7 linked regions of the Coturnix japonica genome follow. The protein of the gene in region 7 interacts with the protein of the main gene of each other region in a biochemical or structural test. Links are inferred from orthologs where the notes say so. Each region holds a gene or a part of one and is shown on either strand. Other genes may lie near its edges. The genes, in order: AREL1, MUL1, ARIH1, SMURF2, MIB2, NEDD4 and UBE2D1.

Evidence for each region.
Region 1: the proteins of UBE2D1 (region 7) and AREL1 form a complex in vitro, tested with the Homo sapiens proteins (5 studies listed by BioGRID). The link is inferred for Coturnix japonica from reciprocal best matches to the Homo sapiens genes UBE2D1 and AREL1.
Region 2: the proteins of UBE2D1 (region 7) and MUL1 form a complex in vitro, tested with the Homo sapiens proteins (4 studies listed by BioGRID). The link is inferred for Coturnix japonica from reciprocal best matches to the Homo sapiens genes UBE2D1 and MUL1.
Region 3: the proteins of UBE2D1 (region 7) and ARIH1 form a complex in vitro, tested with the Homo sapiens proteins (4 studies listed by BioGRID). The link is inferred for Coturnix japonica from reciprocal best matches to the Homo sapiens genes UBE2D1 and ARIH1.
Region 4: the proteins of UBE2D1 (region 7) and SMURF2 form a complex in vitro, tested with the Homo sapiens proteins (4 studies listed by BioGRID, with this or other methods). The link is inferred for Coturnix japonica from reciprocal best matches to the Homo sapiens genes UBE2D1 and SMURF2.
Region 5: the proteins of UBE2D1 (region 7) and MIB2 form a complex in vitro, tested with the Homo sapiens proteins (2 studies listed by BioGRID). The link is inferred for Coturnix japonica from reciprocal best matches to the Homo sapiens genes UBE2D1 and MIB2.
Region 6: the proteins of UBE2D1 (region 7) and NEDD4 form a complex in vitro, tested with the Homo sapiens proteins (14 studies listed by BioGRID). The link is inferred for Coturnix japonica from reciprocal best matches to the Homo sapiens genes UBE2D1 and NEDD4.

What each region holds. Positions count from the first base shown.
Region 1 is NC_029520.1:34,490,080-34,493,579, forward strand, and holds part of AREL1 (apoptosis-resistant E3 ubiquitin protein ligase 1), read right to left. Parts: intron 3,289-3,500; 5' UTR 3,029-3,288; intron 1,913-3,028; 5' UTR 1,869-1,912; coding exon 1,853-1,868; intron 1,211-1,852; coding exon 984-1,210; intron 1-983. UniProt on the Homo sapiens protein: E3 ubiquitin-protein ligase that catalyzes 'Lys-11'- or 'Lys-33'-linked polyubiquitin chains, with some preference for 'Lys-33' linkages.
Region 2 is NC_029536.1:4,256,271-4,260,348, reverse strand, and holds the start of MUL1 (mitochondrial ubiquitin ligase activator of NFKB 1), read left to right. Parts: upstream 1-1,278; 5' UTR 1,279-1,324; coding exon 1,325-1,453; intron 1,454-1,581; coding exon 1,582-1,669; intron 1,670-2,523; coding exon 2,524-2,644; intron 2,645-3,183; coding exon 3,184-3,913; 3' UTR 3,914-4,078. Other genes in the region: protein FAM43B, read left to right, coding at 1-71. UniProt on the Homo sapiens protein: Exhibits weak E3 ubiquitin-protein ligase activity. E3 ubiquitin ligases accept ubiquitin from an E2 ubiquitin-conjugating enzyme in the form of a thioester and then directly transfer the ubiquitin to targeted substrates.
Region 3 is NC_029525.1:1,052,449-1,055,948, reverse strand, and holds part of ARIH1 (E3 ubiquitin-protein ligase ARIH1), read right to left. Parts: intron 1,732-3,500; coding exon 1,665-1,731; intron 1,095-1,664; coding exon 988-1,094; intron 570-987; coding exon 527-569; intron 1-526. UniProt on the Homo sapiens protein: E3 ubiquitin-protein ligase, which catalyzes ubiquitination of target proteins together with ubiquitin-conjugating enzyme E2 UBE2L3.
Region 4 is NC_029533.1:7,225,771-7,229,270, forward strand, and holds part of SMURF2 (E3 ubiquitin-protein ligase SMURF2), read left to right. Parts: intron 1-1,359; coding exon 1,360-1,570; intron 1,571-2,368; coding exon 2,369-2,472; intron 2,473-2,982; coding exon 2,983-3,097; intron 3,098-3,500. UniProt on the Homo sapiens protein: E3 ubiquitin-protein ligase which accepts ubiquitin from an E2 ubiquitin-conjugating enzyme in the form of a thioester and then directly transfers the ubiquitin to targeted substrates.
Region 5 is NC_029536.1:1,724,293-1,727,792, reverse strand, and holds part of MIB2 (E3 ubiquitin-protein ligase MIB2), read left to right. Parts: intron 1-405; coding exon 406-584; intron 585-767; coding exon 768-952; intron 953-1,366; coding exon 1,367-1,432; intron 1,433-2,150; coding exon 2,151-2,392; 3' UTR 2,393-3,500. UniProt on the Homo sapiens protein: E3 ubiquitin-protein ligase that mediates ubiquitination of Delta receptors, which act as ligands of Notch proteins.
Region 6 is NC_029525.1:6,722,655-6,726,154, forward strand, and holds part of NEDD4 (E3 ubiquitin-protein ligase NEDD4), read left to right. Parts: 5' UTR 1-961; coding exon 962-2,482; intron 2,483-3,500. UniProt on the Homo sapiens protein: E3 ubiquitin-protein ligase which accepts ubiquitin from an E2 ubiquitin-conjugating enzyme in the form of a thioester and then directly transfers the ubiquitin to targeted substrates. Specifically ubiquitinates 'Lys-63' in target proteins.
Region 7 is NC_029521.1:5,286,812-5,290,950, reverse strand, and holds the start of UBE2D1 (ubiquitin-conjugating enzyme E2 D1), read right to left. Parts: upstream 2,801-4,139; 5' UTR 2,786-2,800; coding exon 2,753-2,785; intron 889-2,752; coding exon 825-888; exon of another isoform or gene 731-824; coding exon 699-730; intron 1-698. Other genes in the region: CISD1 (CDGSH iron-sulfur domain-containing protein 1), read left to right, coding at 4,059-4,089.

The sequences.
Region 1 (3,500 bases), on a different chromosome or scaffold from region 7:
AAAAGTTACTATTATTCCCTGCTTCTACACAGTGCAGGGCCTGAAGTACTATGTTTATGGGCTGACAGGGAGAGAAACCAGCACATGCAACAGATCCTGTTGATGAATAAAGGACTAAGCAAAAGTGAGACAAGTATGGCACGCACAAGCAGATTGCCGGAGCTGCCATGAATGAGTCAGTGAGGTGAAGGGAGTAAATTTAAATAGCAGGAACAGAACAAGTTCCTTTTAGCTCTTTTTAATTCTCTGTTCTAGAATTAGAACCCTGTCTCATTTACCATCAAGTAAAATGGTTTCCATCATCTTCTCAAAATGATAACATAGTTGAAACTTCCTTCTTTGTTACCCTTCTGGCTGGATACGGTGGGGTGGAAAGCACAGGTGCTCAACAAAACCTGTTCTAATGATCCCCACTTAACTCCAGACCCCCAGTGTTCAGGCCCCTCATGAATCTCATTTGTATTCTTGACCCATTCCCCTAAACATGGCCTTTTGGGAGTGGGGGGGGAAAAAAAAAAGAGTCCTTGGCAAGCTTTTACAGATCAAAAAGGTAACACCCAGAGTTTTTAGAATAACTTCTGATAAGATGGGAGCAGCCAGGAGGACTTACAGCTCTAGGATTGCCAAAATGCTCAGTGCCATGTTCCTGGCTTCAGCTGCATAATCTGCATAATATGCATTCAGCTGCATATATCCAAAATATATGACCAAGTTGGCTGAAGGCAAGGCTCAGCCCACTCGCTTCCCAGCAAAGGATGCAATAGTAGGGCAAGCCTGGTTTCCTCTGATTATTCCAAGGAACCTAGAGACTGTGATCAGATTTTATTGGAGAGCAAACCTTGGATATGCACTTAAAGAGCTCTGTAACACATTAATAGAGCAGAACACAAGAACAGATAGCTTTCCTACTCCTAATTAGGAAACTCTAATTCAGACCTATGTCCCTGCCCCAAAGATACTTGGAAACAGAAATATTCCCTTACATGCACTCGGAAGGCCATGCTATGGCCCACCTCATGGGGGTCCTTCCAATCCCAGGAGATTTTGCAGGACCGGGGATCCAGGTAGTTGCCTCGCACGTAGTCATAAATAGTTCGCTCCCCTCGGCGCTCCCGGTCCTCATGCTGAAGGAAGCTGACTATACGTGCGGCAAGCTCAAAGAGGAACTTAATGGTGAAGAAGAAGGCTACCACAGACACTGTGATCCCACCTGCACAAGGAGAAAACAGATGGTAGTCACAGTAGCACGAAGAATCAAGCACGAATGTCACATCTTCATTATCCCAAGATGCCTTTTATTGATGATATTCTACTCAACTGCAAATTAGACGTTTAAGGCAAAAGCTACTGTGCAAACATTTATGGACTGTGTTATGCTAGAAGTTAGGTTAGAAAACAATACATCCCTTAAAACACTGCAAATGATTGCAAGTGGAGGAGAAATAGGCAAAGGTGGTACAGAGTCTCAGGCATGGCCAGCAAAAACACAAAATTCCCTCTGAGTTGCAAATTAGAACTACAGAGATTTCTTTAAGGGAAACAGTCAGATAGCCACACAAACCCTGCACATCACATTAAGCCTGGATTAAGAAGCATCATGGAGGCAACAACCCTACCCTAGTTCTAAAGAGAAAAAGTAAGGGGATGGCTTAGGAGTGAGGTCAATGGAAGAACTCTGGAAACAAGAAGAATGGTAAAGGGGCAAGTCTGCCAAATGGAGTACACAGTGCAGGGTGACAATAACTTCATGTTTGTTAGGTAGACTCTAACGTGAAATCAAAGGCTTCTGGTAAATCTCTCTAATGCCTATGGAGAGGTCAACAAACACATTGGCAACCTTTCCTTCACTTACCAATAATGTAAAACATCAGGTCCCTTCGGTGAGACACAAAGCCGAGGATCACAGCTGCATCTAGAACACAAAATAGGCCAAGTCCAGACCAACAGCTCTTCCTCACATACACTGGCCTAAATTTAGTCTATGATTCCTCAAACAAATACCTATCATCTATCTCCCTCTCCAAGGACATCTTTAAGGCATTATTCCATGATACTGAAATATACAATCAGTGCGCTAAAAGGACCAGTTCTTGCACCATCACAGATTCCTGTTCTGATCCAGTGACCTATCCTCAAAAAACAAACGGTGGGTTTTGGGTGCTGAAGGATGAGCTAATTTTGCAGGACTTCAACAAAAATATCTGAAAGCCACTCATTGGAAATCTCAAAGCTACAGGAATCAAGTCACAAAGTTAATGTCTAGACTGCCATGGAAGTGTATAATAGAGCCAACACCAAAACAGATAGAAACTGACCCTCAACCAGGAACTTTATAAGAAAGTCTATGGAATAAAAAGGATGTGGACAAGACCATTCTGATTGGTTCAGAACAAATAAGATCCTCCAAGGGCAAGAACGAATTCATTTTTTAATATTTTTTTCCTGCCTTGTGCCTCTACTGTAGAATGCAGAAAAAGCTGTCCACCTCTGTGCACTCGCTTCTGAAAAGCAGAAACTCTTGCTGATCAACTTGCAAGCTAAAATCTTGATTTTTGCAGGCTATTAAGATAACAGTAAATTATAGAGACACCAATCTAAAATTAAATTCTCACTGAGGAGGGTGCTAAACAAACATGTAGTAAAAAGACTACACCCTGAACAACATGTTCATGGTTGATAAGACACAGCTGACAGATGGAACAAGCAGCAGCAGCAGCAGCGAATGTGTGCAACAATCAGACAACTTGGCATACACTAATGCATCCAATATAGCTCACCAAGTCACCATTCTGTTAGTGAGAAGCTACATTGTGCATTCAAACTGTCTTTAAAGAAATATATAGACAAAGGGGGAGTTATTCAGCAGTCATCTCAACAGCAGTAGCAATGGACACCAGCATGCAGAAGGCTTAAATGAGGCGTGTATCCCCCCGGGCCACAACAACAGCCATCATTTTCCAGCCCAGCAAATGCCCTTTGCTGGTCCCCCACATCCCCCTCCATCCCCCCCTAAAGAACAATCACTTACCTTTATGCAACTGCCCATGTTCTAAAAACCAAAAGGGTGGAACCCATTCTTCAGCATCCTTCCTCCTTATGCCCAAGTGGGGCAAATGTCAGCACAACGAGGCCATAGAAAAGACTGCCACAGAAAATGGAACTCCTGGAACTTGCATCACAAGAAGAACAGCTGAAAGGTGAGGACCTGAGCACAGCAACCTCTTCCTCTTTGTGTAAAAAGGTTGACCTGAAGCACAGCTCCCTGTAGCCTGTAGTTTGATAGCCTCCCTGGATAAAGAAGAAAAAGTAAAGTTAGATCTTTCTGTCACTGACAACAAGTCTAGCAAGTACAGACAGGTGAGAGTTGCACTACAAGAGTATCACTAGATGTCAAATCCACAGAAACAATCCTACAAAGATATCACAGTCAATGAAGTGCTTGGCTTCAACATGTTCTCATTCTCCATATAACACTCTCATTCCATATGATCTACTGAAAA
Region 2 (4,078 bases), on a different chromosome or scaffold from region 7:
CCACCGTGGTCTCTTTGGCCAGTGAGATGCGGGGGTGCAGCTTGCGTGGCCCAAGGGCCCCCATATGCTGAGCATTCATCCACTGCTTTGGCCATACCGGGTGCACTCGGGACACAGCTGGACTATAGGGCTACGTCCCTTTGCTCTTAAAGGGGGGGATGCAGCTGGATCCCCCCATCCCTCTCCTGGAAATAAACCCAATGTGTGTTTTTTGCCTGTGACAGCACCTGTCTCTCGCCAGCCTGGAAGACTCGCGATGGTTTGTTGCTTTTCTGTTCTGTATTTACCCATTTTTTGCACTTCTCGGGGTAAAATATCCACCCCACAGTGGGGGGGGGAGGGAGGGGAGAGGGGTTTCTGCACCTTCCATGCCATTCTACGTGGTGTGATGCTCATGTTGCCATGGCAATGGTGGGGTTTAAATAGAGCAGGCCCACGCTTTGGGTTGGGGGGGGAGGCTGCAATGTGGATCCCAGGCCTGAAACTGGGGGGAAAATACAGCCCAGAGAACCTAAATCAGTGGAGTTTTACACAAAAATGTTTTTTTTTTCACCCAGTTCCTGCTCTATCTGCCTTGACAGGAGCAGCAATGAGGGGGGCACGGTGGAAGGAGCTGAATAAGTGGGGTGGTGGGAGGGGGAACAAGGGGCACTGCTGCCCCATAGACTGAGGAAGGGGATGCACCAGTGGGATGGGGTTTGTGTGAGCTCCCCCCACATACAGCAGCCAAGGAGGGGGTGGGCTGTGGTCCTGATTCCCTCTGAGCTTTGGGGGCTGCCCCCACACTCTGTGGGCTCTATAGAGCTCTATGGGACTGTGGTTTGAGATAACTGGCCCCCGAAAGCACTATGGGGCCAAGATTTGGGCTAACACCCCTATAAATAAACCTATGCAGGGTTATATCTGAGATATAACCAGCATCCTGGGGTGAAAGACTGGGATTTGGGTTAAACATCCTCTGAAAGCCCTTTAAGGCTGAGATATAGGCCAACCCCACACAAAAGGTCCTATAGGGCTGGGATTTAGCTTATCCACCTCCAAAATCCTTGGGGTGAGAGTATGGGATTTAGGCTAAATCCACCCCAAAGGCCCAATGGGTGTGGGATATGGGCTATCCTGCCCTAAAATCTTGCGGTAAAAGGTTGGGATTTGAATTATACCCACCCCAAAGGCCCTATAGGGTTTGGCGGGGCTGTATTGGGGGGCTCTACCAGGAAACCTTACAGCCATAACTCGGAGGACCGCACACTCTATGGTAACGGAGTTGCTTCCAGAGCGCCGCTCGCTTGACGTCATCACTCAGCGCCGCTCGGTTGCCTCGGTAATGGAGGAGATGGAAGGAAGCGGGCGGCCTTCGGCCTTGCAGGCCGCGCTGTTGGCGGCCGGTACGGGGCTGACAGCGCTGCTTTACTCGGTGTACCGGCAGCAGACCCGGCTCTCCCGAGGCCTACAGGTGGGTACGGGTGCTCCTGGACCGGGATGCGGGCTGCTAAAGGCCGTAATGGCTGCTTCGGGCCTAGGCCGCGGCCTAGTCCTGAGCCTGGGCCTAGTGGTTGATCCTCGGCTCCTTATGTCCCATAGGGAGCCCGGAGGCTGCGGTTGGACGGGGAGCTGCGGGCCGTGCTGCTGGAGGCACCAGGCCGCTGTGTGCCTTATGCTGTCATTGAAGGTATTGGTATAGCTAAAGGCTGGGTCTCTTTCCACATCTCCCCTTTGGCTCAAAGGGTTTTGCCCTAAAATCTGCTTTCTTGCACCAGAAATGGGGTAGCACTGCCCTGTAGTGCAGGCTCCTCCTTCACAGACACACACCCAGGGAAGGGGATGGGCTGTGATTCCTTCCAAATGAAAGGGGGAAAACTCCAGCCCTAATAGAAGGCTCTGGGGTATGGGATAGGGTTAGTTCCTTCCGTATGCAATGCAGGTTGGGGTTTGGGCTGGCATCCCTATGGAGCTTAAATATAGCCTGATTCCTGCAAAACTATGGGGTGAAAGGCTGGGGTTTGGGCTGAATGTACCCCAAAGGTCGTGTAGGGATTGATCCCTTCATAAAGGTACTACAGGGCTGGAATTTAGCCTGTCCCCTTCCAGAATCCTTGGGGATGGGATTATGGAATTTAGGCTAAACCCACCCCAGAGGCCCAGAGTTAATCTGGTCCCCAAAATGCCCCAACGAGGCCGGCATTTGAGCTACTTCCCCACCAAAAAAACGCCCCGTGAAGGTGGTATTTGGGCTATTTCTCTCCCCCAAAAACGTGCAGTGGGGGCTGAGATTTGAGCTAAGACCTCCACCACCTCCACAAGACACATTTGGGCTGGGATTTAACCTGTCCCCATCCAAAATCATGGGAGTGAAAGACTAGAACTTGAGTTAAACGTATCCCAGAGCCCTGTGGGGCTGAGTTCTGGGCCTGTACCTCCCTCCCCTTAAAAAATAAAGCACTTTGGGGCTGGAATTTGAGCTAATCTTCCCCCATGACAATAAAAGAGACTTGACCCACAACTCAACCACTCCACGTGTTCCAGGTGTGGTACGTTCTGTCAGGGACACCCTGAGCAGCCAGTTTGTGGACAACTGCAAGGGCGTCGTGCAGAGGCTGACACTGCAGGAGCACAAGATGGTATGGAACCGAACGACCCACCTCTGGTACGTACCTATATAGAACCATAGGACATCCCAAGTTGGAAGGGACCCATAAGGACCTGAAATCAGAACCTTAAGCCTTAGAGCAATGTCTCAACACTCCTTGAGCTCTGGAAGTTCAGGGTTGTACCCTCCACCCCACACATATGGCAGCTGGAGGCCACCCCAAGCAGCCAAATGGAGCATCCCTGCACTGCACTGAGCAGCCTAATAAAGCAGAGAATGGGAAGCTTGATGGTATTGTGGAGTCATCGTGGCTGTGGAGGTGATGAGGATTTAGCTGCCCCTGAGCTCTTTGCCTTGTGACAGCAGCAGGTTTTGCATGGGGGGCACAGGCAGAGTGATAAATGTTGCTGTGTTGAAAGCTGTGGTGTTTCCCTGCTACCTGGCTTAGGTTGGAGGGAACCTTAAAGATTATCAAACTCAAGATTATATCAGCTTGGAGGCTACCTTAAAGATTATCAACCCATGCCATGGGGTTGGATCACCCAACCCAGCCTGGATTGCCAGCGTGAAAGCACTAATGCTTTCTTTATCCCCAGGAATGACTATGAGAAGATCATCCACCAGAGAACCAACACCACAGCTTTCGACTTGGCCCCATTGGAAGACAGCACCGGGGTTGCCGTGAGGGTGATGAAACCACTGGAGGCTGCTGAGCTCAGCCTAGAGACAGTGCATGAGAAGTTCCATCCCTCAGTGCAATCCTTCCCCGATGTCATCGGCCACTACATCAGCGGGGAGCGCCCCAAAGGCATTCAGGAAACAGAGCAGATGCTGAAGGTGGGAGCTGCACTGACTGGTGTCGGAGAGCTGGTGCTGGACAACAACACCATCAAGCTGCAGCCACCCAAGCAAGGTCTGCGTTACTACCTGACCAGCTCCGATTTCGATGCTTTGCTGAGGAAACAGGAATCGAACGCCAAGCTTTGGAAGATCCTGACCATCCTTTTTGGTTTTGCTACGTGTGCTGTTCTCTTTTTCCTCTTAAGGAAACAGTATCGTTACCACCGGGAGAGGCAGCACCTCAAACAGATGCAACAGGAATTCAGGCAAGCTCAGGAGCGGCTGATGCGTGAAGTGAGCACTGAGGGTGGAGAGACACTGAAAAATGCCTGTGTCATCTGCCTGAGCAACGCCAAATCCTGTGTCTTCCTGGAGTGTGGCCACGTCTGCTCCTGCACTGAGTGCTACCGAGCCCTCCCAGAGCCCAAAAGGTGCCCCATCTGCAGACAGGCCATCAGCAGGGTGGTTCCCTTGTACAATAGTTAAAGCGTTGCATCTCAAGGGGGTGTTTTATGGAGAGCTCCCTCTCTCTGAGGGTCCGCCTGCGTCCTGCCCTTCTTGCTGCTGGGTGTTGGATGGCTGGGGGTGGAATCTTGGACTGGGGAAGGGGGAGGGAGCTGAGGAATGATTGGAAATGATTGCAGGTGCTCA
Region 3 (3,500 bases), on a different chromosome or scaffold from region 7:
TGAGGATCAACAAACTGCTCTCTTCAAGGCACAAAACATGTTTGTTTGTCAGCTCCACACTGGGCCCTGGGATCCCAGGTTTGATTATAGCTTTGGGCAGCTCCACAAGAAGCAGTGCACACTGTATGGAAACAGGCACCAGAACCAGGACCCAACTCGCTCCACGCCACAAACCACAGCCCTGTGGAAGCCCTGAGCACCTATAAAAACACTGAGTGCAGGAACACTCTGTAAAGTGAAGCATTCACTTCTGAAACTTCCCAGTTCTTGATGGTCTCATCTGGAATATCCTCCTCCTTCAGGCACTTCCCCAAGGGGTGTAGGTTCACAAATAAAGTGAAGCATCCTAAAGGCATCCAGGAAGACTTCTCTAATTTTTTTCATGTTACCACCTAAACAGATGAATTAAAATGCTTCTTGACGTGAGCAGTTGCAAAGCTTGAGCTTTTTTCTGCATGTCATGCACATAAGTTGACTGTAAATGTTTCAAAGTCACACACTTAGCAAAGAACTTTGAGATGCTCACCTTGCATTTAACAGGATCATGCCAGTTTTCACCGCAGTTAAAGCTGTAAGGGGAAAAACAGCAAATAAAGTACATGGTTATTCTTTTATTTAATTTGGTTAACATCATGGAAATTTTTCTTCTGAGAGGCCCTGCTGATAGAATATGGAAAACTCCAAGGAAACACTACCCATATTAAAAAGACCCTCAACTCCCATAACTTCATTTGGATATACACTGCATTCAGTCTGGGCATTAATATTAGATTCAACAGGGTCTTATTTTCCTTCTAGCAATCCAGGTAACCTTGCAAAGTTAGCTATCTTATAAACAAAGAAGGTGAATAAAAAGATCTCGCCTGGGAAAGACAATAGAGTTCACTAATTATTAACTTGTATTAGCTTTCATTATTTCATTTTATTACCACTTTCAAAGTGCTAAGTTGAAGGCAACCTTAACTTCTTTTGCTTTATTGTTCTCACCAAAACTGACGTCCACATTTGCAGCGAACAGGTTTAGCATCAGGATACTGGACTTTAACAACATGGTGGCAGTCTGGGGCAGGACACCATTTTAACAGTCGATTACACTATGAAACAAAGCAAAAAGAAACAATATAGTGGATTTGAACATGTACATCCAGGAAACTGGGACAAACCTAAGCTTTCAAAAATCAAGACAAACTCAGAATGGTGCTTTGGGAGCAGTGAAGCTATCAGTATTTTGCTAAAAGACATTTTACAGCTTTACTTCAAATGTCAAATGTTTAAGACACGCTGCTCTTAATAGAAAAGTGTTTCACGATTTGCAGCCTGAGACATCTTAGGTAGCATTCAAAAACCATAAACATTAAGTGCTTCTAAGAAAATAAACACTGAATAGCTCTTGCAATCTTGTAATCTATAGATATTTACCTTATCTTTAGGTTACACCTCTGTAGTCCTACAGATTTTCTCGACTATTTTCCTACAACCAACCTGTAACTAAATGGGCCACAAAACAAGCCCTGCAAAGCCTTTAATTTGTAGTTATATCTGATTAGAGACCACACAAAAGGAAACCTGCTCTGCAGCTATAAACAAACCTCACTCTGGTTCAGTACACAAGCAGGAGGAAAAAACACTCTGGGAGCCATCACAAATTTCAAATCAAAACTCACCTCTACAAAACTATTGGTTATTAAATGCTGGTACTTTAATTTCACCTTGGAATCTGTGATCAGACGCCTGCAGAAAAGGAGAAAAAAAAACCAAATATATTCTTGTAGTAGAAAGGTCCCTTCTCCCCTGTGTGACCAGAAAGTCAAGACAAATGATTCTGATTCTTCCTTCTAAGCTTGCAGGTTTCTTTTTTGTATTTGCTATTTGTTGGTACTGTGAAATTGAAAGGTATTGTATTTAACTTCTAATATTAATTACAGAATCAGACAGACAGCACACACAGTCCAGGAGAAATACCCCCTAAAGAGAGAGGATGGTTTTCATTTAAAAAATACTTCCTTGAGTGACCGAGGAGCAGAGCAAACAGCTTCACCGGCTCATCTACACAGAACAGCCATACTTTGTGTCAAACTCCTTCGCAAGCCTTCAGAATAAGTGCTTCATTGACTTTGGTAGATCTAATGTTATCTGGATTTCAAAAGACTGCTACCATTTCAGTTTTAAAGTCAATGTGTTTTTAATCTGTTGTCAATTTAAATTCAAAACTGATTTGAATTCAATATCACAGGGTACATACAGCACCAACATTAAGTCAGCTTAGAAGCAAGAGAGCAGAAGAAAACTAGACAGACAGGAATCCTTTAAGAGCATGGTGACCAATTCTGGCCCGGCCACACAGACCCAGCAGGTAATTGCAGACTGTCCATACTGAATGTGTTGTAAGTTGTTTCATTACATACTGAAGATCTCTGCGTACATTTCTCAGTTATGAAAGAAACACCTGCGTTTATAAAGCCTTGCAACACAAAGCTGGATGCACTTTGTGGTATTTGTTTTAAATTAAACAGGATTTCAGCTTGACAAAACCATACCACACAAATATTGCAATCAATACACCATTCCAGGGTGCAGCCAGAATCAAGTGTGCTCCTGCATGTTATCATGTCAACATGCACTAAAGGACAGCACGTGACGCTGGGATGTTGCATAAACCCTCGCCCTGAGCAGTCTGGGGAGCTCCTCGACAAATGACACACCAGTTATTACATAAACACAGCACGTGACAGCCAAATTCCCAGCGCTAAAATAAAAACAAACCAAGTGACAAAGCATCTCATCAGGCCCATGTCCATAAGCCTGCAATGTCAAAGTGAAACTAATCAAAAAAGAAAAACAAAAAACCCAACACTGAATTTTAACATGTCGTGTGAATTTCAAGACTCTCTTTCTTACTCTATACATAAGGTTCTAAAGCATTAAAAAAAAAAACACAGTAAGTTTTATCTGTGACATTTAACGTATGCATCAGGAACTGCAATTGAGGAGTAATGCCATACCCAGCCCGGGCACATGGAACACATGACCCGTGGCCTTTGCATACCAACCTCCTGGACTGGTCCATGTCAACACCCTCACCTCTCTACGTTCAGCTTTGATGAGCACTATTGGATTTTTCCCCCACAAACAATGAAATAAACCAAACAAATTAAGAGATGAAACCCATTCCCAGTGCCCACAAACCACCCCTTGGGTCCATTCTTCTACAAGCCAAGACACAAACGAGCCAACCTCACTGAAGATACCAGGCTGGAAAAATACACTGCTTACAAGGGAAGTATCATCCCTTCATCTCTATAAGCAACTAAGTTCTGAAAATACTACACACACTGGCATTTTCAGACTGATTTCAAATTCATCTCATGTAAATTTAAAGCAATTACCAGCACTGTTAGCAAGGGTGAAGAAGGGCTAGAAGCAGATTACCTTCAGCTAGTCTGAAGATCTCCAAAGAGCTGAAAGGGGCCCTATTCTAAGCCTCCCTGCTCAAAAAGCCT
Region 4 (3,500 bases), on a different chromosome or scaffold from region 7:
CATCCTAAGGCATCATGACAGAATTGGGTTGCTGTGCATTATTTTCTTCTTATAGCCCAGATGTAAAATGATAATATTATTAAGAATAAGCTTTCAGCTGTTGCTGAGCTGATCCAAATGTGTGTCACTGCAGGGGCTTCTAGATGGTAGGTTTGTAAGACATAGGATATAGATGATCCCTGTAGACTGGAGTAAATTTCACTTGAATGTGGTTTGTGCAAATTAACTTTAAATAAAAGGTTTGAAAATAACCGAATGGCTGTCAGAACCACAGGGCAAACTGGGAACACTCCCACTTCTTTTTTTAACTGCCAAAAATGAATGCTGTGGTGGTGAAAGCCCGGTGGAAATGAAGTTTGGTTGGTCAGGGGAGCTTTCTCAGTAGACTTTGTTTCAAAACAGGCAATGGACTGAAATCTTAAGAGGTATTGAAGTTGTGTGAGGTTCTGTCTCATATGTTTGGTTTTGTTGTTGGAAAAAAATAAATTGACGTTGCATTGGAAAAAAATATATATCTAAATTGTGACCTTTCCTATTTATCCAGTCAGTTTGGGGCATTATCACATGTCCTGCACAGAGGCTTTTCAAGTTTTAGGGGAAATACAGCTTTTGTCCTCTTGTTTGGAAGTGCCACACTAAAAAGCTAAGCCATGCAAAAAGGCCTACTTGAGAAGTGACATGAGAAAGGACATCTCTGCTCAAAACTGACTTTGTCCAGTAAGAAGTCAGATTTACAAAATCTCTTAGAATTGCTAGTAAAAATACTTGCTTATCTGTGCCAGTTAGTTACATGTGAGCTCCCCACATTCCTGTGGTCCAGACTAGGCCAGGTACAAGGGACAAGGTCCTTGCCAAGCTGCCAGTACAAACATCTTTTTGTAAGCTTACTCTTTTTCATGCAAGCCATTTAAAACAGACTATGGTATTGAGTGTAGATTAGAGGCATAGTGTTTGGCTGATCCTTGAATTTTAAATTGGAGGAAGGCAAAACACGCAAAGGAAATATGGAAATGGTATCTGAGAAATTCAGTGTCAGCAGCTTAGTAGTAAAACTGTATGGTTAATACCTTATTATATCGTGCTGTAACCTTTTACATACTTTGTAGAGTACTACTAATAGAAATAACCAACTCTAAAAACAACTGATAGTTGCCAAGAAAGACAGAAGCATATGTCTTTAGTCAGGATAAAATCTCTCTGAATTTACTTTTTTCTAGGCCTGAATGTTGTTAGTGTAATCACAGTAATCATAGTAAATCGAAAGTACGTCAGTTACTAAGACTTAACCTTTAAGAAACACATGAAGAAAACAGGAGACGTATGACTTGAATATCTGCAAACAGCTGTGTTTGTTTCTAGCCGCCAGAATCAACTTAAAGATCAGCAGCACCAGCAGCAGCAGCAGGTAGTGTCCCTGTGTCAGCTTCCAGATGAGGCAGAATGTCTGACTGTGCCAAGGTACAAACGAGACCTGGTGCAGAAACTCAAGATCCTGAGGCAAGAGCTGTCACAGCAGCAACCTCAAGCTGGCCACTGTCGTATTGAGGTCTCCAGGGAAGAGATTTTTGAGGTAATTTGAGATCTTGACCCATTTGTTAACACTGAGGGAAGGGGAGGAGGGTTATCCATAACTGTCTGAAGAAGTCATTCAGTTAGACAAAATGCTGAAGCCTGTTTGTCTCAAAAACTTTATCACCCATCCCACCCATCCCTGTTGTGTTTTTACTCCACCCACAAACATGATAGCCCCACTGCGTTGTCACCATTTTTCCAGCCAAGAAATATTTGTGTTGGTATTCCCAATGGAGACAGTCAAATCACTTAATAATAAACTGAAAAAGAAGGGGGAGAAATGCTGCTGTAAAGGAGTGGAAATTATTATATTCTTTTTCTGAAGCGTCCCAGGCATGCCTGCCTCTTCTCTTCTGCAAAAACAAAGATTGGGGGCATCATAAATAAAACCTTTGATTTAATTCCATTTATAAAATGAGCATTTGGTTTCTTTCTTTAGCATTCTTTTTATATTGTATTGATGAAGTCTTACTGATAGAGCAATAATTCCATAGATTTACTGGGATGGCGGTGGTGCTGATGATGCTTAAGCATCTTAAGATGCTTTGTGAAGGTTTGCATATCTTCTGGTCAGTAGAAGTACCACTGTTGGCTTTTCACACTATTTTTTACTTGACAAGCATTATCACATTTATAGAAAGCTATGTAACAGTTTGTGATTGGAGAAACAGCAGTCTCTAGGAAAACAACATCCCCTTTGGGCTTAGATTCTGAGACTCCCTTTGTTTCTAATAAGCAGTAGTAGCTTCTTGTCTCTAAATAGCAGTTAATAAAAGAATGTGTTGTGTATTTACAGGAATCTTACAGGCAAGTCATGAAGATGAGGCCAAAAGATCTATGGAAACGATTAATGATAAAGTTCCGTGGGGAGGAAGGTCTTGATTATGGAGGTGTTGCCAGGTAAACAGTGTGTCCTCCATCCCTTTCCTCAGCCCCACCAGCTGCACCACTTTGATTCCTAAACCAAACTGACAACGACTCTTTTTCTTTTAAAATTCTGTGGTTCTATTTGTTCTAGTAACGCTGTATGTCAGAAGAGTGTATATATCTCAGATAGTCTTTTCAAGGAAAAAAAGCAAGGAGAATTTATTGTAAATAAATCAAAATGCCTGTTACCAAAGGTGTCTCTGATGCAACCTGTATCAATTGGAAAAGCTTGGGTATTTGGGAGTGTATGTACACCACTGAACAGTCAACTTGGTGACAGAATCATAATCAGTGACTCTTGGAAAGCAACTTGAAGGAAAATCCTGGCAGCTGACAGGTGCTGTGCATTACTGAACCAGTGAAAATAATTCTGCTTTCTACACGTGCATAGCTGTCCTTTGAAAAGATTGAAAAGATTCTCAATATGCAAATTAATTTATCTAAGGTTATGCAGTAAATTCTTTCTTCTTTCTTGTTCTTCAGGGAGTGGCTCTACCTGTTGTCACATGAAATGCTGAATCCATACTATGGGCTCTTCCAGTATTCCCGAGATGATATCTACACACTGCAAATCAACCCAGATTCTGCAGTTAACCCGGTATGACTGACAATAGGAGTTAAGTAAAATGATGCTTTTGTGACCCAGCAGTTAGGTACATGTGGAGAATAATGTTCTAGATTTAAGAATCTAGTTCTCACGTTAATATTGCTAGAAACTAAATGAATGAAATAACATAATTTGTTGTTAGTATGGATCAAAGAAACAAAGAAACATCTCAAATGATCTTAATTTTCTGTAAGATATTGTTTTATGTTTCCTTTGGGAGAAATGGAGTTTGTTTTGATTCTTAACAGTAAGACTCTGGACTTGAAGCAACGTACCCAGTGTGCTGTATATAAAAACAAACTAAAAAAAGATATCAAACAGCTCTGGTTATGTGTTGGGTGGTGGTGGTTTCCTTGTTGTTGTTAAGGTGTATTGAAATTTAATTAAACGTTCA
Region 5 (3,500 bases), on a different chromosome or scaffold from region 7:
GTCAGCAGAAAATTGTTTTTGACTTCAGATGAGTTTGGGATCATGTGCACACAAGGTTGGCCTTTTAAATAGCTACCATTTCAGGTTCCACATGCCAGCTGCCCATCAGCTGATATTCACTGTGGTGCTTTCAATATACACTTTGTAGCTCTTGTCTGCTGACTGAAGAAGTGAATACCCCTTACTATGGGCAGTAATGATCAGTACCAGTTGGGACTTGTTTTATGCCCACTTGTTCCAGGAACACAAGGTTTGAATCTGCTGTTTATACACTGAAGGATCATCTTGCATTTTGTGAATGCAAAACTGTGCTTTCAGATAGTCACTATGATGATTAATTTTAAACTTGGTACAGCTACGTAACAGAATCTTTCTATTAACAGTGTGTTTCTTAATGTATTTTAGCTGCAGGCTTCTGGCTTTCTTGGAAACACAGAGCTGAATGTTGGGACTGCAATTGCGTGTTACTTAGCACAGGAAGGAGCAGATATTAATTATGCAAACCATCGGGGAAAGTCTCCTTTAGACCTTATTACAGACGGAAGGATTGTCCAAATCATCAAAGACTTCTCGCAGAAATTCAGGTAAACAGTGTCCTGTGGAATAGCTCCCTGTCAGGAGGCTGAGTTGGTCTCACTAGTGCAATGAAGATTGATAAGTTTGTGCTACCTGAGCATCTGCATTTTTGTCTTCACATGGAATTGTTTGCCAGGGATCAAAACGATTTTATCAGCTCACTGAATTTGATTACATGTTCTCGGTTGCAGGGAACAGCAGGTTTCTTCAGACTGCTCAGCCATCACCTGCAGCCTTCGCCGCGTGCACACCACCCCCAACACAATGACCAACCTTAGTGTCTCAAGTGTGGCAGTCCCCACAGAGTGCCTGGTCTGCTCAGAGCTGGCCTTGCTCATCCATTTCTTCCCATGCCAGCACAGCATTGTGTGTGAGGGTAAGTCCGTTCTGTCTTTCTTTTCCTTTCCTGTTCTGCCACGTAGCCTCCCTGATTCATAAATCAGAGTCTGTTGGGATGCAAAGCTGTCCATGAGCTGGAACAGCCCCAGCATGATTTCAGCACTGTCACTGTAGATGGAGTGTCCAGAGCCACAGAATGGAGAGCTGTATGGCATCCATAGCACAGCAGTTCTGGCAACACAGAGCATTGAGAAGTCGTGTTGTGTTTGCTACTGCATAGGATAGACTGAAGTGAGAGACGAGGATGTAGCTCAAAAATAGAAGGCAGTGTCCTGATTTCCATCTCTTGATTATCCAGGGAGTCCTCAGGCCATGTTCTCGAGTCTATTGTCTTCCTATTGTTCTTGCAGCAGTGGGCTTAATTGTATCACTCCTTCTATCATTTTGGTAGAATGCTCCAGAAGAATGAAGAAGTGCATCAAATGTCAAGTGACAATAACCAAAAAACTCAAGCAAGGTATGTTTGCTGTACGTGTTTGTCCCAGCAGCAATCAGTGGTTCTCAGTGGGGGTAAAAAGCCCAAAACATAAGAAATAGAGTTAACTTATTTTTTTTGCAGGAGTGGGGGAGGAAAGGGGATCTGGTACCCATAGCATTAGTGTTAAACTCGTCCTTCATGGAATCAGGTTTTCTGTCCTGATGCCTGGACAAAAGCACAGAGGAACAGGGTCCAAGGATCTCATTAAGGTCCACTGAATTCTGTGCATAGTGTTGACTGTAGGACTCTGCTTCGTGTAGCTGCTTCTATGCATGTTGATGTAGGTGATGTCAGATGGTTTCTTGCTTCATACCTCGTGTGTCCTGAAAGACATAAGGGGAAAATTAAATCCAAAGTGTAATCAAGGAGGTTGAAAGAACACAGTACTGACATCAGTGTGAGGATTCATGGACTGTGTGGCAAAACGTCATAACCAGCTTTGAAAGCTTTTACTTAAAGGTAGCACCAACATATTGCAGAGCAGCAAGGCAGGAAGTATCAGACAGCTTGGATTAAGCAGCAGAAGAGAGGAAAGCACCACTGGCCAGTTGATAAAAAGCATCATTTCAGGCTATCCAGAATCCCTGGATAAGGACTGAACAAACTGCTGCTCTTGGAGTGACAGTCTGGTTAAGGAGACACTGCATGAGACAGAGCACAATAGCAACTAACTCTCCCTGCTCTCCCACCCCTGCAGACAGCACCGAGGTGGAGTGCAGCCCCAGCTCTGAATCCACAGATCAGAGGAAGCTCATGGAGGAGCTGCAGAACCGCTACCGGCAGATGGAAGAGCGCATCACCTGCCCTATTTGCATCGATGACCAAATCAAACTGGTCTTCCAGTGCGGACATGGCTCTTGCCCAGACTGCAGCACAGCCCTTACTGTGTGCCCCATCTGCCGGCAGGCTATCCGGGAGAGGATTCAGATCTTTGTCTAAGGATATGCTTGCTTCCCTTTCTGTTCCCACCTCCTTTACATCCTTTTTGTTTGCATTTTAGATGAGAAGCGCTGCTCGGTCTGGCTACCTGCAAAGCCATTGTGAAAGAGGGGGGGAAACAAATGTGACTTAGGTGAAGGGGTGGGAGTGTCCTCCACTTGTAGCACTGTAAGGGCAAGGAATGGTGCTGGAGGGCAGGCAGCCACCTCACCTTGTGCTGCCTGTCCTTTGGAAAGACACGAAGTAAAGAACGCTGAGCTGTCTGCTGGAGGCAGAAGAGACTTTCAGCCCAGAGGCCAACAGACGTTTGGAGTTTGGAGTGCTCCAGTGACTGCATCGTGTCTAGTGCCCTGCAGTGTCAGACTTGCAGCCTTTCGTTGCTCTGAAGGCGATGCTGTAGGAGGATGTACCTTCTACCTCGGCAGGTAAAGCGTTTGCTTGTGCTTTGTGCAAGGAGATACCGGAGATCAGCCGTGGCCATTGGTTTTCCTTGCTGCCTGTCAGTGGTAGGGAGGTCATGTCCTACGACAGCATGCTCTCTGAACGAGCACTTGAAGGCTCGACGAGATTTGGACTGACAGACAAATGTGGCTGTGATGAGATCCTAGAGACAGAGTGTGTGTGTGCCTTAGAGATAAAGTAGTGAGCACTGATTGGAGAAAATACGTTGTTACAACAAAAACTTCTCTAAGTGACACTCTTCCATGTTTTCTTTTTTTGCACAACCGTGCGTTCAGAGACTCCTGAGCTTTCTAACCATGATGCCAAAGGCAGGTGTTCAACGCTCCAATCAAAGTGTAAAGAAAAACAGAGTCATAATTAAGAAATGAGAAGGGTTTTCGGTTTTCGTTTCTTTGTTTTGCAGCAGAACTTAATAAAATAAAATTATATTTTCCTGAGCATTAAAATGAATGTACAAACAGTAGCTGAAATGTGGATCTGGCTGTACTTGTGTTTTCCAACTGTCTGACTGAAGAAATATTACCTGGTGATTCTGTCCTGTAAAGTTACTGTTGGCAGAAGTGGCCACCTGTAGGGTGTGTATGTATCCATATGTGTTTGCGTGTGTGGTGTACATCTTTAATGACACAATTATACACAAGTGATG
Region 6 (3,500 bases), on a different chromosome or scaffold from region 7:
TCCGCTTATTCTGGGCTTCCAGCAAACAAGATGGTACTTTGCTTTGCACTGTAAGAATATTTTGTTTCTTTCTACCTTCAACAGCTGTAATTTGGAAAGGTTGAAATATATTATTTAACATGGCAGTCTGGATATAAGCACTGAATTATTAATCAGAGTATCTTGTTGCACTTCGAGTTTAGAGGCGTCTCACTAAAAAACATTAACTAATTGGTAGGAGACCTTTTCACTACGTGGAAATCTTTGCAAAGAGTGATTGGTTAAACAGAATGCAGATTGTTAGGTAATGCCAGGTTTCTTTCAAGTTTTGTTTAAATAGCCTAGAAAAACTTTTTTTAAGGAGGAGGGTTATTTTGCTGGTTTATGCATAAGTCAGACCTCAGCAGTTTGCTAGCATGGCTACTATTTGGAAATTCAATCCTAGACTTGATACTCAATTATATGGGATTTCATTCCTACCAACTTCCTGTAATTCTAAACCTATGGGTAAAAATATTAGTAGTCATACGCTGCTGGGGAAAGTACGGACACATTGACTCAGCTAGTGCAGCTGCAGCAGAAGCTGCTGTTTTAAACTTGGAAGTGCTGAGAGGTTATTATTATATTCATATATGCAAATTACAGAAGGTATAATCGAAACAAGGTTGATAGTGTTTGTCAGTACGTTGCAGCTGAGGTCGCTGGAATGTAAGTGCTTTATAAATGAATGCTTTCTGACTGCGAGCAATCAAAGACGGTCCAGAAACTGCACTTCAACAAATGGCTGACTGATTTCAAGAGGTACAATATCTTTTTTCTTAACACTACTATCCTGTAGAAATTAGGACAAAGCTTGCAACTTCTTTTATGGGCTTTTGCTGTTGTGATGCACTAGCTCCAGGTTCTGTGCAGCTGCCTGTAAACTTTCTGCTGAAGGATCTTTGTGGTTTTAATTTGCTAATATGCATGGAAATGAGAACAAATGGCACGACGGTTAAGACTGCATTTTGCAACCCAAAGAAGGAACACGGATCTGTTACCGGAAACCTCCGAAGATGTTTTGAATAGTAACAATCAAATGTACTTCAAAAAGGCACAGAATTCTGAACTTAATGGTATACAAATGAAGCTGGCTTCTAGACAAGTTGCTTGTGCACCTGTAATGCAGCAAGTAATTAATCAAGAGGGAAATGCAGCTATTTCTTCACTGCAAAAAAAAAAGAGCACGTCTCTGCACATTTCTCTGCAATCTAGAAGGCATAATGAATGTTTTCGGTCTGGTGATGCTGCAGCTGCTGGCGAAGATGCTTCATTCATCAGTATTTGTAATGAAGGAAATTATGGCATCAGAACTGTGGTTGATCATCAAGCTAACGATAGCCATCTGAGCAATACTGCTGTGTGCATCGGCAGTCTTAACAGTATTGCAGCCAGTGACAATGGGTCCTTCAGCAGTGCTGGCAGCGACTATGGATCATGTGCAAGTACCACGAGTGATGGAGGTTCATATAGTAACAGCGTCATCAGTGACAGCGGCAGCGGCACTCTCTCCACAAGCGATGGTTCTTTCTGTTGTAGTGTTGTACATGGTGATTCTTCGTATGGAAACACTGCAAACAAATACAGTCCATACAGAAGCAGTTCATCTCAGGAGGAAATAGAAGTGTGTAGAATTAACCCTGCTTTTGACCAAGAAGCTGTGTCGGTGAGGAAGAAAACCAAAGTTCCGCTGCGGCGGTGTTCATCATTGGTAATTTTCCCCAGAAGCCCTTCCAGTACTCCTCCAGCTACTCCAGTAACCTCAGGTCAGATGCCACATAGAGGTGCCTATCAAACATCACATAAACTAATTATTTCTCCTAGTGAGCTGGCACATAAGGAAGATCAGACTGTTTCTAAGGGATTCCTTTCAACAGCAGTCAATGGACTTCGACTGTCTAAAACAGTTTGCGCATCTGGTGAAGCTAGAGACATAAGACAGCTTTACTTGCAGACATCATTACGGGACAAAAGTCGAATTTTGAACAGTTCTGAGCAGACAGCTCGTGAAGAAATAGCTGACAGATTCTCATGCATTTCAGTTCATCTGACTCCAAGAGCATTTGCATCAAGCAGTGAAATGGTTAATGGCTGTTGCAGTCAAGAGTTAAATCTGAACTCCACTACAAAATACCCTCCTTTAAAACTGGCACGCAGCACATCTGCATGTTTACCCTCAAAAATAGATTCAGAATACCAGATGAATATAAACGAACTGGAAAGACCGAATGCACAGATGAGCAAAGCCCACCATGTTTTGCAAAGAAGTGTTTCGTTGGAAGGATCGCGTCAGAAAGTTTCTTGCTGTTTATCCAGTCTTAAATACAAGTGTCATAATGCAAGGACGTCTCAGTTGCACATACAGTTCAGACCTGGGAACGAAGGAAAAACAAGTGGTGTTAAGAAAAGATATGGAACCTCTAAAAGGGAAATATCCAGCACTTCTTTGTGGAGGCCCCATAAGGTGAGTGTTCTGACTTATAGAAAAATCAGTGTTCTGCAGCTGAAACTAAATTATAAATTTTAAATAATAACATTTGTAATCAAGATTTTAAACACAGCTATTTCAGGATTTCTTAATGTTGTCAGACTGTCATCATTGGGCAGGTTAATTTTTATATTACCCACAACACTCATTTTTTTAGATTTGATTCTTAAAATATGGTACTGTTTTTGGTGAATTTGTCATATAGGGAAATATCTGTATTTAATATATTATACACAATTATTTCCTGCTTACATGAACCCAAAGGGATTTTCTTGTTTAAATAACTTCAATGTCTAAATGCCTAAACTTCACTTTTGTAAAGTTTTAAATACGTAACTTTCCAGCTCAATTATAGTAATGATTAACATTGCATATAAAGTTGGCAAAAATGAATAAATTGCTATAAAGAAGGCTTTCAGGTTTATTTCATATAGGCTTTATTCTCAGTATGGTTTACTTTATGAGAGATTAAAGATAAGTTATATTTGAACAGAGAAACTGTAAATACCATTTGTTTCTGTATACACCCTGAACCACAGGAATTTTCAGTTTCCTTTCCTTTTTTTTTTCCCCCTTCCAACCACTTCTTCAGTCTGAGCAGCACGCTGTAACTTAATCTCTCTCCCAACAACATTGCTGTCCAAATTATAGTACTCGGCTCTAGAAGGTTTATATTAAATATATTGTTTGGTAATGAAGCTTACATCGAACTGAATTTCCGGAGGGTTTGATCTTATTAACTCTTGAGGCATTTTCTATTGTTAGTAAAGCATAAACCATATGAAATGTGAATACTAGAAACTGTTATAGTGAGGTTGTGGAGACTTGAACAAGCTGAGTATTATTAACTGTTTTTAATTGTGAACTCTGGAGAAAGAGCAATAATACTTACAAAAGTTATTTCATGTTTTAAGACTACACTGTCCATTAATTTAAATTACTGTGGTCTTATAATACTTGTTGAAGCAATGGGTTTTAGGCCAAAGATCTGACA
Region 7 (4,139 bases):
TTTTCCTCCAGAGTCACTGCATCCAAAGGAAAAACACCAGGAATACCAGCTTCTTGCCGTGCTATTTGTAAGCACCCTTTCTCTCAGGTGGTGTTTTCATTCATTCTTCTTGCTCACACCCTCGCTCATTTTCCTTTAGAACGTTCTGTTCTTAAGCTGTCGCCTCCTCTTGTGTCGTGAATCATAGATTGCATCTTTCAGAGGTTTTCTTCAGATTGAGGACATCTTTCTCACACAGAAACCGCAAGTTCTCTTGGCTTAGAGTTCCCAAAAGCCAGTTTTGCCAGAGCCGCTTCACACCCCCTGCTATATCCTAAAAGCCCCCAATCTTGCACAACACCAATCTTGTTTACAGTTAGCAACTTCAACGTTGCATTACATAACTCTTTCTCCTTTCAGATGGCTGTATCTTTCAGAATTGGAACCATCTTCAAAAAGATCTTTCAACTAATTCGAGCATTGCAGTTGACCGATTAAGCATCCCTAATTTCAGGCAGAAAAAGAAAGACTTTTTTGATCAGTTAAAAGAAGAAATTAGTATTAGACTACCAGAAACAACAGTGTAAGCCCCAAATCATTAGTCAGCACACAGCACAGCTGAATTTGACTGCCATGTTAATAGAAAGCCAAACGACCACTTCCGTAACGTAAACGGCAACAAGTCTAGTTTTTAAGGGGGAATGAGTTATAATACTTACAGGTCCCATAATAGTGGCTTGCCAATGAAACACTGCAAGTCAAAAAGATAAAAGAATGAGAACTTTTGTAAGCTTTTTCTTAACTGACATAAGATGAGCCATGGCAACGTCCCAGGAGGAGCTTACAGTCATCTCCAACAGGTCCAGCAGAACAGTGGGCTGGGGGGTCTCGCTGCAGATCACTCAGTTCCTGTAAGTAACACACAAATATTGGCAATTAAACACACAAGCAGACAGCACACAGCGTCATCACTTCAAAATGAAGACACTAAGGTTTTATTAAGTAGGCCTATAACGTTTTGAAGCTATGTAGTTATGTTACAGCCTCACTAAGTCACTCCTTCAACTATGGGACTGAAAACAAGGGAGTTGTCTGCTATACTCAAACAACTACAGGGTGAATTGCCAGCCCCCAGCTTCACTGCTCTGGGGGAATCCTAAGCTGTATGAGAAGCAGCACCCCGCGTAGGCTCAGCCTAAGCACCAAGAGCAGAATCCTGTACAAGTGCAGCTGCTTTTTGATCTGGATTCAAATTTCATGAAGGAACAGCACAGAGAAGGGTAACCAAGTCACTGCCTGCACAAGAAGTCAACAAGTCTCAAGTTTCCAACGCATCACCAGACTCCATGGGCAGCTCCTGCCACTGTCTGCTCTGACTTGCAACACAAGGTCCAACAAGAGAACACCGAGTTTGCATGAAAAACACAAGATTAAGACAGCAATCTGCACAAGACCGATGGCCAAAAGGGACATCTCAAAACCCAAGAATTCCATCTTAGAGCAATTATATGTGACTCTTGTTGGATGCTTTTATCAAGACCTTCAAGACTAGTTCATTGATTCATACCAACACTTGTACTTCCTAACTGGTAGGAGCTAGGAAGGTGTACATTTCCAACTTGTTTAGGCTAAAGACACTGTCAACCGTCCACAATAAAAGCATGCTTCTAACCACAGCTTGCTAAGACCTAGATCAATCCAATCATGTTATTTTCCAACCATGATGAAGACAAGTCACTCTTCAACCCAATGTTTTAAGTGAAGGTCATGTTCAGACATTAAGAAAGCTTTTATAGCTGTGAAAAACAGTTGGACCAAACTTCCACACCCTAACAGACCCAACTCATGCCAGGCTTTCCTCTCAAGAAATAACATACTGACACCAACATGCTCCAGCACACACCATGCTCTACCCCAATAGGACCATAATCAACTCGGATAGAGAAGACAACTAAGCTGAGGACACTGATAGGACACTAAGTCTTCTAATCCTCTCAAGCACTGAAAGAAATACTGAATTAAATAAAATATTGCACTAAAGAATTGTGAAGCTGGTGAGGACAGCGCAGCTGCTCAAGCTGTTATGTGCCACATTAAACACAGTTAGATATTGTCTCCTCCAAAGCCACTGGAATGAGATTGGATACTTTGACAACAGGGAGATGGATGTTTTAAGCATGGTACCTATGGAAACTCAGTAAGCGGGAGTACTAATAAGAGAGACCTAAAAATATTCCTCATTTTTACTGCTAAGCAAGCCTGCAGGCTATCAGGAGCCAGAAATAGACCATGAGCAGCATCACTAGAAGCTATTTTAATTCTTTAAGATACATGAAACCACATCCAGAGCTTTTCCCCCACACCATTATTTAAAAGCAAGGTTTGGAAGTTTCTCAGCTACACAATGCACTGTACTTCCTACTAAGTGCTCACATCCACCTCTTCTCCTGTATTAACCCAAAGGAAGATGCAGCTCAACAAGAAGCCAAGTTATTTTCAACATGAAGATGTAAGCTGGCACGTCCCACCCATCTATGCATATGAAACACATGCTGAAACAAACAGACATTTAGTTCAACGGCATATCTGAGCATTGGAATGCCTCCATTCTTACTGAGTGGCTGGAGAAAAACAATCAAGCACTATGCTGACAAGATGGAAAACAACAGCTATTATCAAACCAGTCTGCAAATGTGTCAGAGAAGATGCTGCTGGTTTCAAAATCTCTAAGTAAGTAAAATAATTGCTAACATCCAGAATAAACAACACCCACCAAGCAGCGGGTTGTTCTTTCGCTGCCTTCCATTATTCGTGTACAGCTCTCAAGTCCACAGGGTGTCCTTTATGGAGTCCTTCAAAGCAGACCAGTGAAAGAAGGCAGTAATGACACAGATCAGAGCAGCTGGACTGTTTAGGTATCAGTCCTATATGACGTAAGACACTAAGACTCAAGTTCTGCAGTTGTGCTACCTCCATAGATGCCACCATTCTGACACCACAACACCACCAGACCTCCCACTTGCTTTGTCTGTTCATCTTAATGGGACAAAAATAAGGTATTCGGAACAATCCCCCTCTTCCAAATGCAGGACTTGAAGAAAAAGCGAGAAAATCCAAAGCCAAGAAAGCGCAAAGCATCACCATATCGCATAGAGGCACGACAGAGCGTGAGGTGGAGCTTGCTCCGAAAGTAATGCCTCCCGTTTATATCCATGGAAATCACAAGATACAAAAAGCACAACGGTGCTGCTTGATAGAGCAAATCCTCGGCTACAAAACGCTGTTTTCCAACACGGCCACCACCGTTAGCTGTGTATTTCTGGCAGTGATGAAGAGCAGCCTGTGCCAGCAGAGCTGCCCCAACGTCAGCACTGCACAAACACCCCCCGTCCCCTCGGTCTCCTTGGAATAGAGAGGCTGTACATCAGCAGGCATCGATGTACAGCAACGGGTGCCATTTTATCCGCACGGAGGGACTCAGGGATACACCTTTGCTTTGTAAGCCTTACCACGACAGACCCCACGTCGTAATGCCACACTACTGCTGCCATCTGTCGCGACACAACGTGCCGACACACCGACACGAGTCCTACGGCCGCAATATCCCTCCGCACGCTATATTCGCTCCCCTCAGGGCAGGGAGAGCGAGCGACAAACCCGTCCTTCCCCCCCCAACCTGACGGAGACAACAGCACAGCGGCCCTCCCGGCGGCTGCAGCCCCACAGCGGCCCCACAGCCCCCACTCACTTTCTGTATCCGCTTCAGCGCCATGGGAGCGCAGGGAGACGGCAGCGAGGAGCGCGGCGGGGGAGGGCCGGGAGGTGGGGCGGGCGGATAACGGCATCCGCACGCGCCGGCGGAACGGGAAGTAACAGCGAGGGGCGGGGCGGGCGGCGGGCGCTTTGTGTCCGTGTCCGCGGGGCACCGGATGGGCGACGCGGCCACCGCCGCCCCCTCGCGGCCTGGAGGTGCGGCCCTGCGGAGCTCCTCCCCTCGCTGCCTTCACGGCCTTTAGAAGGGGCGGGCTGCGGCGCGTGCGCCCTGCGGAGCTGTGTGTGTCCTCTGCGGAACGGGAGCCATGGGGCTGGGGCAGAATGGCGCCGTGCGGGGTGGGTAGGGCTGTGGGGCTGTGTGGGGCTGAGGGGGAGAGGAGGGAGAG